Caenorhabditis elegans: one gene and its partners. The protein of the gene in region 3 purifies or fractionates together with the protein of the main gene of each other region. This does not show direct contact. Each region holds a gene or a part of one and is shown on either strand. Other genes may lie near its edges. The genes, in order: orc-4, orc-3 and orc-2.

Region 1 (3,754 bases), on a different chromosome or scaffold from region 3:
AGAGCAAAAAGTGTCAGAAATTCGTGTACGTCGAGGTCAATGCGATGATCTTCAAAAAAACTGTATTCGTAGAGATTTACAACGGGTAAGGACGTCTCGGAAAAGTTGAAAATCGAACAATTTCCATCTAACAACTGCAGAACTCATTGGAAAATGCTCAAAATTTTGCGCGGAATCCTCCGAAATTCGAATTTTTCGAAAATTGTTGGCTAATTTCTGAGTTTTTTCATAAGTTAACGGGGAATTTTTTGTTTTAAAGCTTGGAAATGGATCAATTTGAGCATTTTTAGACAGTTTTCAGCTTAATCGCAAGTTTTTAAAGAAAATATTATGCTGAAAACTGTCAAAAAACTGCTTAAAAAGACGTATTTTCCTTGCTTTAAAAAAATTTCGACTTAAAATTATAAAAAAACGCAAAAAAGTAACTTTAAAATGTCGATAAAAAAACGAATTTCAGTGGGTTCTGCTAGTTTTTACTTTATGAAAATGATCTAAAGTAGTGAATTTCGTGAAACCTTGAACATTTTCCCGATAGGATGTTAGAAAAACCTCAAAAATCTGAAAATTTTGGGGTTTTTCTCTTCAAAACCCTAAAAAATCGGTTTTTTTGTAAAATAATCGTTTTTGTACGCAAAAATACTGAAATTTTCAATATTTTTCAGCATCCAAGAAGAGTACAACATCTCGAAAAAGCCTCAAAGAGCAAAAATCACAGCTACCGCTGCTCGCCAAGAGCTCAACTCAATTTTCAAGCGAGAAGATCCGAAAAGACCGCCAATTGTTGTGCTAATCGATGAACTGGATAGTCTGTGCAATAGAAAACAAGATGTTCTCTATGATATCTTTGAATGGACAGCACTTCCACAATCTAAAGTCACTATTATCGGTATTGCCAACACTTTGGACTTCCCGGAACGAATGCTTTGCCAACGGAATGCTAGTCGACTTGACAAACGTCGCCTCGTATTCCAGCCTTATCAACACGAGCAAATCGAGGAAATTGTGCGTGCGAGGCTCCAAGGATCCAATTTAATTGATCCGAAAGCTGTTGAACTTGTCGCCAAGAAGGTCGCTATGAACACTGGAGACTTACGGCAGGCTCTCGATTTTCTGTGTCGAGCGATTCGTGTTGCAGTAGAGAGAAAATCGGAAAAGCTCGAGTTGTCGCATGTGATTGCTGCTCAGAATGCGGTGCTGGAACCTCTTAAATATCGTCTTGTAAAGGGATTAAGGCTTCATCAATTCACATTGTTCCGGACAATTGAATCTATGGTTAAGGCTAATTTGAATTTGTAGAAAGAAAATCGCTTTTTAGAATTTTTACTAATTTTCGGAGCAAAGTTAGTGTGCAAAGAAAAAATTCCAAGTTTTTCAATAATTTCCACTCATTTCTCTATTTTATACAAAAAATCACCACATTTTTCCATACTTTTTTCCAGTTTTTTTAAATTTTCTCAGAAAAAACTAGTAAGGAAATCATTTAAAATTTGTGCAAAAAACCTTGAACTGTTCTGAAATTTGAACATTTCCTAAAATTGAATATTTTGTAGACCCGCGAACAAGAGGAGATCATCTTCGCAAACATCTACAAAAACTACTGCATAATCTGCTCAGAAGTCTCTGGAATCGGCCCGGCCACCGATAGCTTCGCCTACGGAATGCTCCTTCAACTGGCGAGCACTTCATTGATAAATCTGTCGAAAGGAGATCACGGAATGATGAATCGACGTGTGAAGCTGGGAATGACGTCGATGGAAGCTGAAAAGGCGATCAAAGCGGCGATTGAGAAGAATAAATCGATTTATTCAATTTAAATTTTATATTTATGTGTTATCCTCCAAGGACGTTCTATTTAGATTCTTTTTTGACTTATTTTGCATTAAAATTCCAATTAAAATAAAATATGGACTTTGAGTTTGCTGTGACTTTACCGGAGTCATTTCAATCACCAAGCAGTTTTCCACCTGTTTTTTATACTTTTTCTTCTAAATTTTTATCAAAATAATTTGTTAAACATTTCCCAGAATGCTATCACCTTCCGATCAAGAAATTGTAGCGGAAAATGCTCGGCGAGCTCTTGATTTGCTCGACGATCAGGTCTTCGGACTAACGGAACAAGAGAGGTGAGTGCCTGATGCAAGCGCGCCCCACTGGACTTGCTATTGAAAATTTGTGATTTTCCCAAATATTTTATCTATTTTCAGGCAAATCGAGAATATTGTCTATGATTTTCTGCAGTCGAAAGATGGAAAATGTGCTCTTCTTGAAGGTAAATTTATTGTCGCCTCAAAATCTGCTCTAACGACCGAAAAAGTTCGAAAAAAAGCGGAATCTTGGTAAATCTGGTATTTCTCCTAATTTATCTTTTGGCTTCAGCTCGAACATAGTTTTTAATAATTTAATATAGTTTAATGCATATTTCGGCTCATTTTCCGGCTTAAAATTTGCCTAAAATTTTAGATTTTTGCGAGAAATCTCTTAATTTTCGGTCTTTTGAGCCCATTATGACAGTGCGGCACGGTTTTTTGTTGATTTTTTAAAAATAAAGTTGTTAATTTGCTCATTTTCCTTATTGAAACGTCATCTAATGTACTCAAAATTATACAAAATTTCGCAGTTTTCTCCATTTAAATATTGAATTTTCAACAATTTTTTATCGATTTTCATTGCAGGAGAACGAAATTGCGGCCGAGAAAGCACACTTCGGAAGGTTCTCAACAAATATCACAAGGAATTACGAGTAATCAACGCAGGCTTCGTTGCCGCCGATCCAAATTATCAGCAGGAACTCGCAAAGGAGGATGACGAAGGATATTTTGTGTTTTTAGTGCGAGACGCCGACAAATTAATCACTCCACAGCAGCAAAAGTTCCTCTACACGATGGTTGACAAGGCGACACACTTCTCGTGGCTCGTCTTTTTCTCCGTTTCCCGACACGATTTCGCTCAGAACCTTCAGAAACAGGCGACGTCGAGAATTCCGAAAATTCAGGTGTCATTTGACGCGACACACGATTATGAGGAGTATTGTGCAGCGTTGACGCAGTTTTTGATTCCTGGCGGCTCAAAATGCGAAGAATCCGAGTGCTATAAGAGATTTGTGAAGAATTTGAACTTTCAGACATGGCTTAGGCCGGTTTTTGAGGTGAGATTTGGTGAAGAAGCATTCTTAAAAGCTGAAAATTTCACGAAAAAGCTGAAAAAACTCAAATTTTCCACCTTTTTTTTTGATTTTTTTCATCAAAAATTGTAGTTGTTTTTTTTTATTTTCTTTTTAGAAAGAAAATGTTATCCAATTTAATTCTCATAAAATGCGAGGGTATTTCATGATTTTATAGCCAATTTAGCATGAGATATCCGTACAATCTTACGATAATTAAATTGGATAACATTTTCATTCCAAAAATGAAAATAAAACAAATAAAATCATATTTTTCGGCTTTTCAACCCCCATTAAAGTCCATATTCTCAGACAAGTCACTACGTCGTTCTGAAACAATTGGCCGCGCAATTCCTGATGCTTTTCGGTTACTATTGTGACGTAGAAGACACGTGGAAACCCGAGGAAATCAGCAAACAGATTCGTAAAATTGTCGAGACGACTTCTCCCTCGTATAATGGAAAATTGTTGATTTTAAAAGGTAGAAATTCTGCTAAAACTTTGAAAAAGGCAGAAAAAACCCACGATTTTCTAATTTTGAAAACAAAAAATGAACAATTCAAGTTCACTTTTTGAAATTCCGCAAAGAATTAA
Region 2 (3,754 bases), on a different chromosome or scaffold from region 3:
GAAAATCAGAATTTTCGGCCAAAATTCATGAAAAAAGTGGAATTTGGCTGAAAATCAGCGAAAAATGACATAAAAATTAGAATTTTGAGCCAAAAAATGGAATTTGATTTGAAAATTCGCGAAAAGTAACCGGAAATTCAGAATTTTCAGCCAAAATTCATGAAAAACATGGAGCCTAACTGAAAATTCGCGAAAAATGACCGCAAAACCAGAATTTTCAGTTAAAATTTATGAAAACCATGGAATTTGACTGAAAATTGCATAATTTTGAAGATTTACCTGCAAAAATCGATATTTTTTGCTTTTTTCCCTGAAAAATCGATAAAATACCGATTTTCAAGTGGAAATCGATAAATTTTGGGGATTTTTTTAGAAAAAGCGATAATCTTTTGATTTTTCACTGGAAAATCGATAAATTTCGAACAAGACTTTGTAAAAATCGAAAATTTTTGGCTTTTCTAACTGAAAAATCGATAATTTTCTAATTTTTAACTAAAAAATCACTGACTTTCTAATTTTTCCTGTAAAAAATCGATAAAAAACCCAAAATTTCTCTTCGAAAATCGATGTTTTTCGGCTTTTTCACTAAAATCTCAATAATTTTCAAATTTTTCGGGAAAAAATCTCGATTTTTGGCTGGAAAATTAACAATTTTCACATTTTTCCTGTAAAAAATCAATAAATTTCCACATTTTATACCAGAAAATCGATAAATTCCCGAAATTTCTCTTCGAAAATCGATAATTTTCAGCGCCACTAGACCGCCGCCGCCGCCGTCGTGCCGGGACCCAAAATTCTCCAAATTTTTGCACAATCTTCTCTTGTTAGCTCCCCACCAAAAGTACGTTTCCTTCAGCGATTCGCAGGTGAGTGGACCGCCCCTCTAATTACAGATTTTCAGATTTTTTGGGCCTGAAAATAGGCCGTTTTAAGCCCAATTTTCGCTCGGCCCCGCCCCCTTTTCAGGTTTCTGTATCCCCGGAATCTTGTTCGCCGATCTATGAAATTTTGTCAGTGTGTGTTGATCAGTTAGTTGACTATCATCGACCCAAAATTATCGATTTTTCGGGAAAAATTATTGATTTTTTTCAGATTTCTCTATCTACACCGAGCCGCCCACACGTTTTCACCTGCTAATTATCGATTTTTTTAAATTGATTTTTTATTATTTATCTCTCTGTAGAATCTTTTTGGTCTGTGAATTGGAATAAAATTGATTTTTCGAAAATAAAAAAAATAATTTTTTTTAGGTTTTTAAAAAGATTTTCGCGAAAAAATGAGGATTTTGAGAGAAAAATCGATTTTTCGACAAAATTTTTGAAATTTCAGTGGTTTTCATGTGAAAATTTTGAATTTACGCGAATTTTTTCAATATTTCGACGATTTTCGCTGGCAAAAACTTAAAATTTAAGGCATTTTTCGAAGTTTGAAAAAATTTGGCCCCAAAATCGATTTTTTGGCCAAATTTTTGGATTTTTAGCGGTTTTTTTGTGGAAAATTCGAAAAAATGCTTATTTTTGCGATATTCCAAGGTTTGAGGGCAAAAATTGGAAATTTGAGGCATTTTTTGATTTTTGGAGAAATTTGCCGCAAAAATCAATTTTTCGATGAAATTTTTGAATTTTTAGCGCTTTTTGTGTTAAAAATTCGAATTTATTGCATTTTTTCTGATATTTCGACGATTTTCGCGGGCGAAAATTGAAGATTTGAAGCATTTTTTCGATTTTTTAAGAAATTTGCCGCAAAAATCGATTTTTCAACGAAATTTTCCGGTTTTTTACAAGAAAAGGGGTTTAAAACGCAGTTCTCATAAAATTTTACGTCTTTTTTCAACAATTTTACCTGAAAAAACCCAAAATTCACACGGAAAACCTCTGTTTTTCGGTAAAATCGGTACAATTCACCTAAAAATGCAATAATGCAAGCGCGCTCCACTGTACAATTTCAGTTTTTTCTGGGCGCGGAATTCGAATTTGAATGGGTTTTTCGTCGATTTTCAGCCATTTCCCATCAATTTTTGCCAATTTTCAGTCAAAAAATGACGCCCGGCATCACTTTTCACCGCGGAAACAAGAAATTAAAGCTAGGAAAGGCGGAAATCAACGAGGCAATCGAGTTTCCCGAGGATTTTGAGTTTTGCTCAATGGAACAGGAGAGGAGGTGGGTTTTTAAACAAATTTCAACTGAAAATTGTTAATTTACACTATTAAGTTTGAATTTGAAGTAAACTGTAAACTGAAAAAAAACGTAATTTTTCACTAAAAACGGTTTTTTTTCCAGATTTTTCAAAAATTTCGTCGATGACGTCACGAGATTCGACGAAAAAATGGCTCACACCACGGCGAGCATCTACGACACGGCAACCAACGAAATCGCCACTTGGATCCTTAAAAAACCCGGAAAATCGTCGAAAACGAAGGGAATTTCGGTTTTTTCGCCGAATGAGCCGATTGGGACGTTAAAATGTGCTCTGGTTCAGTGTAATTTTACGGATATTTCCCGGTTGATTGGTGATTTTCGGCAGAAATTACTGGAAAAATCCACGGAAAATCTGGAAGTCAGGGATCACTTGGTGACGGAGAACGACGCGATTCACGAGATTATTGATCGGATTTTGGAGAAGGTAGCCGCGACCGCGACCGCAACGCATGACGAATTTCGATTTTTTTTTTGGTTTTGAACTTGCTCGACAACCAGGAAAAATCGATTTTTCCGGAAAAAAACACCAATTTCCAGACCGCAACGCACCTGAAATTCAAAAAAAAAAAGTCGAGAAAATCGATTTTCCGTCAACCGCGACGCGACCGCAACGCATCCAAATTTATTTAAAATTCAAAATTTCCGGAAAATTATCGATTTTTTAACGAAAAACACCAAATTTCCAAACCGCGACGCGACTGCTACGCACCTAAAATTCAGGAAAATTCAAATTTTCCCAAAAACTATCGATTTTTAAACGAAAAAAAGGCAAATTTCCGAACCGCGACGCGACCGCAACGCATCGAAATTTTTAAAAAATTCAAATTTTCCAGACCGCGACGCGACCGCAACGCACCATATTTTTAAAAAATTTCAAATTTTTCAGAACACGTCCTCAACAACATGCCACGTCATCATAATTCGTCAATTCGAATCTCTCCGTCCCAATTTCTTTGCGTCTCTCGTCTCTCTTCTCTTCTCAAATTCCACGTGTCGCCGTCTAATTCCACGTATCAAACTGATGACGTGTGTCTCGACGTCACCAGCGTTTTTTACGCAAAATTGCGGACTTGAGACGGCAAATTTGATGGATTTGACGCATTTTAGGGTGATTTTCGACTACTTTTCGGCCATGGCCTAACTTTTGCACAGTGTAGAAAAGTTAGGCCATCGCTTGAAAATTGAAGAATAAACTCGGAAAAGTTGGAGAAAATCAAGGAAAATTCAAATTTTTCGATTTTTTCGTGTAAAAACTGCAAAAATTTTGAATTCCCGCTGAAAAAATAGTGGTGGCCTAACTTTTTATCAACTGCAAAAGTTCGGCCACCAGTGAAAAATCGTCCAAATCGATGAAAATTATTTTAAAAATCTATAAAAATTTATTTTTTAAAAAATCTTAGCAGGTGGCCGAACTTTTCACGAAATGCAAAAGTTCGGCCACCTGCTAAAAACTCGATTTCTTACCGAATTTATCGATTTTGAAGATTTTTTACAGGTGGCCGAACTTTTGCAGGTGATGAAAAGTTCGGCCACCGCTTGAAAATTCAAAAATTTT
Region 3 (3,754 bases):
TTGTGAACGGAACATCGGTTAGAAGATCCTTGAGATGATTTCTTTTTAAATTCAATTCTTGCACGGCTTCATGAGAATAGACGTTTCCGGAAGTAGCGATGGCCAGAATATGACTGTGGTCCGTGAATGTTCTGAATGTAACTGGGCATCGGAACTTTCCATCTTCTCCTTTATCGAATTTCAAGTGGATTAGATCCTTGGCAACCAACGGTTTTCCTGTACACGGGTTTTTGCCATGCTTCTTCAAGTAAGGAACGATAGCACTGAAAATTTTTTAATAAAAAGTAAAAAAAATAAACAGAAATTTACGTTAAATCGAAAATTTCTCCTGATCTTGCGCAAACTGGGTCTTCAAACGGTAGAAGTGACAGCGAGCAATGGTTGATGGGTAACCTTTTGAACTGTGCTCTTTGGAGTCTTGTTCCAGTATCTGAAATATGAAATTAAATCTTGTTTTTATTTATAACTCGTGTTTAAATAAAAACCATCTTTATGTCCTCCAATCGATTTCCATTCAGAAGTGGTCAGATAGAGTTTATCTTTCTGATGTTGCTTTTTTCCCATTTTATCTGAAAATAATACAAATAAATACTAGTTACATTTATGTAGTTATTAAGCTTAATTAAAATGCCGATTGTTAAAAATTGCGAAAACAAATCGGCTCGTAAATCTACACGAAAACCTAGGCCGGCGGCCGCCAGCCACCTCGGGTCTCGCCACGATCACATGTCGATTTACGCGCTCAATTTCATTGACTATTGACGTGGATTATCTTGTTTCTCAATGTTTTTCCTCCATTTAAATTGTTTTTCAGAGATAAATTTTTAATTTTATAGGTAATATTAGCAAAAGAGAGGATTTGCAATAAGATGGCAGACTTTGACACTGTAAGTTTCATTTGCAGCTTATTATTGAAGTTTTTTTTTTTTAACTAAAAAGCGAAATTTCAGAATCCAACTTCTCTGTACAGTATCAAAGGAATTGTGATTCTTGATCAGGATGGAAACCGTGTTCTTGCCAAGGTTTGTCGTTTATTTCACAATTACCATACAAAAAACTCGAAAAAATATCGATTTTCAGTACTACGACCGTACAACCTTTGGAACTGTCAAGGAGCAAAAAGCTTTCGAGAAAAGTCTCTTCTCGAAAACTTCCCGCAACACTTCAGGTTTGGCTGATTTTTTTTTGATGAAAACAATAAAAATTAAACATTTTAAGCCGATATCCTGCTTCTCGACGGAGTGACTTGCTTGTACCGCTCGAACGTTGATCTGTACTTCTACGTGCTCGGATCGACCCGCGAGAATGAGCTTTTCCTCGACGCAACTCTCACCTGTCTCTACGATGCTGTGTCTGTCGTTCTTCGCAAAAACGTCGAGAAGAAGGCTCTCATCGATTCCATGGACACTATCATGCTGATTATTGACGAAATCTGTGATGAAGGGTTATTTTTTTTTATTTCTAAAAGTATTCAACTGATTTAAAATAATTATTACAGAATTATCATGGAAACTGACGCCCAGGCTGTCGTCCAAAGAACCGCTCTCAAATCCGACGAAGTCTCATTCTCCGATCAATCCGTATCACAAATCGGCTTCTCGTTCATGAAATCTGCCAACGAGCAGTTCAAATGGTCTCTTCTCAAGTAAATGGAATTCTATAAATTATTTAATTTAAAATGTGATATTTATAATCTCTCCAATACTCTTTTGTGAATTAAAATGAATAAACCTCGGATAAAATGGTGTTTTCATTGTAAAAATTGTTGATTTTGTGCTGTTTTTGTTGAGTTTTTGGTTCGTTTTCTTAACGCCTAACTATATTTTCAGTTTAAAGCTTAACATTTCCTGCATGAATCTAAATATCTATTTTTCAATTTTAATTTCAGAAAATGCCACGGCCAAAAATTTTGAAACGAGCAACTGTCCAGCCCAGTGCCGCCGTTCCTGTGAAAAAATCGACTCCAGAAAAAGAAGGATCCAGACAGAAAAAGACGAATGGAAAAGAGAATGCTTCTAGAAATTTGCAATCAAATTTAGAAGAAGATTTGGAACAACTGGGCTTCGAGTATGTATCTATTATCCAGATGAATTCTTGAGCAAAACCGGGTCTCGACACGGCAATTTTTGTTGAAAACAAAACGGGGGTGCGTCTATAAGGAGTGCTGTATTATCACAATATGTGTTCTTAAAGGCGCACAGATCTATTCAGGCGGGTCTCTGCGCGGAAAACAGTATCGTAGTATTTTCTTTTTCTTTAAATTTTTCCGGTTTTTTAATAGAATAATAGAAGGAGAACTAAATACAAAAAACGGAGTAATTTCTTGAAAAATGAAAGTAAAAAACTACCATAAAATTTAAAAGTTTTTCGCGCGCCGAGACTCATCTGAATGATTCGGTGCGCCTTTAATAATGGTAGGCCAAAATTTCGTTGCGGAATTTCCATCGATTTTTCATTGTTTTTTGTTAAAATTTTTTTTAAATAAACAAAAAACTAGGATAATTAAAAGCGCATGAATTTTAACGAACAATCGATAAAAATTCCACAGTTTGAAACTACAGTACTCTTTAAAGGCGCACACCCGTTTGTAATTCAAAAAAAATTGTCGTGCCGAGACCGGGAATTTTGGCGCAAAAATTAGAAAATCTTCCATCTAGCTAAAAATAAGTACATTTTCGAAGCAAATCAATCATTTTTCCAGGGATGAAACTGTATCAATGGCTCAATCAGCAATCGAAAATTACTTTATGCAAGGAAAATCGGCGTCAGAACGAATGAATAATGCGAAATCCCGTCGTGGAAGACGTGCTGGAAATGGAAATACTGAAGAAATTGAGGAAGACGATGAGATCAGTAATGCTATCACTGATTTCACAAAATGTGATCTCCCTGGACTTCGAAATTATATTACCAAAAAAGATAACACGGAATTCGAAAAACGATTGGAGCATCTCGCGGATAATGATTTCGGAAAATGGAAGCTTTACCTAGCAGCTGGATTTAATATTCTTTTGCACGGTGTCGGTTCGAAGCGTGATGTTCTCACAGAATTTGAGAATGAGCTATCCGATTATACATATATGAGAGTGGATGCACGGAAAGATGGGCTCAATGTAAAAGTTCTTCTTGGAGCTATCAATGAGAATATGAAGCTGAATTGTAATGTGAAGAGAGGCCAATCTACGATTAGTTGGGCTCGATCTATTCGCAGAAAAATGAATAGCCAACAGTTGATTCTTATCATTGATAATATTGAAGCTCCTGATTGGAGGTGAGGGGAATTCGCTTTTATTTATGTATAAAAAATTAATTTTAATTAATTTCAGAAGTGATCAAGAAGCATTTTGCGAACTTCTTGAGAATCGGGATTCGGTGAAATTGATTGCTACAGTTGATCACATTTACTCGACGTTCATCTGGAATTCGGTGGGTATCTAAAATTTTAATTTTCGAAAAACAGAAAATTATATTTTTTTGTTATTTAAAATTATTTTTTTCTGTAGAAATTTATATATTTTAGTATGTTTTTTGTTCATAAATATAATAAAAATTTGACAGAGAGAAAAATAAGAGAAAATAAGAAAATCTTAAAAAAATCGAATTAATATTTAATCTGAAAACGGCAAAAAATCGAAAAAAAAACAATTTTGAAAAACAGTCAAATTTATGGCAAAAAAATTTTAAAAAAATCGCTACAGTTGATGGCATTTACTCGAATTATAACCCACTAAAAACATTAAATTTTTGAAAATAA

Evidence for each region.
Region 1: the proteins of orc-2 (region 3) and orc-4 purify together in Caenorhabditis elegans (affinity purification with mass spectrometry, with the first as the bait; one study listed by BioGRID). This does not show direct contact.
Region 2: the proteins of orc-2 (region 3) and orc-3 purify together in Caenorhabditis elegans (affinity purification with mass spectrometry, with the first as the bait; one study listed by BioGRID). This does not show direct contact.

Annotation. Positions count from the first base shown.
Region 1 is NC_003281.10:10,644,146-10,647,899, forward strand, and holds the start of orc-4 (ORC (Origin Recognition Complex) subunit), read left to right. Parts: upstream 1-2,024; 5' UTR 2,025-2,025; coding exon 2,026-2,123; intron 2,124-2,204; coding exon 2,205-2,269; intron 2,270-2,671; exon of another isoform or gene 2,672-2,672; coding exon 2,673-3,145; intron 3,146-3,472; coding exon 3,473-3,641; intron 3,642-3,754. Other genes in the region: orc-1 (Origin recognition complex subunit 1), read left to right, coding at 1-85, 663-1,272, 1,551-1,814.
Region 2 is NC_003281.10:1,206,102-1,209,855, forward strand, and holds the start of orc-3 (ORC_WH_C domain-containing protein), read left to right. Parts: upstream 1-2,031; 5' UTR 2,032-2,038; coding exon 2,039-2,160; intron 2,161-2,280; coding exon 2,281-2,623; intron 2,624-3,085; coding exon 3,086-3,307; intron 3,308-3,754. Other genes in the region: Y119D3B.12 (LUC7 related splicing factor homolog), read left to right, coding at 752-760.
Region 3 is NC_003280.10:10,872,043-10,875,796, forward strand, and holds the start of orc-2 (Origin recognition complex subunit 2), read left to right. Parts: upstream 1-1,888; 5' UTR 1,889-1,891; coding exon 1,892-2,067; intron 2,068-2,701; coding exon 2,702-3,271; intron 3,272-3,326; coding exon 3,327-3,426; intron 3,427-3,754. Other genes in the region: cyn-4 (Peptidyl-prolyl cis-trans isomerase 4), read right to left, coding at 1-263, 310-430, 486-564; copz-1 (putative coatomer subunit zeta), read left to right, coding at 870-887, 951-1,022, 1,081-1,168, 1,219-1,444, 1,499-1,649.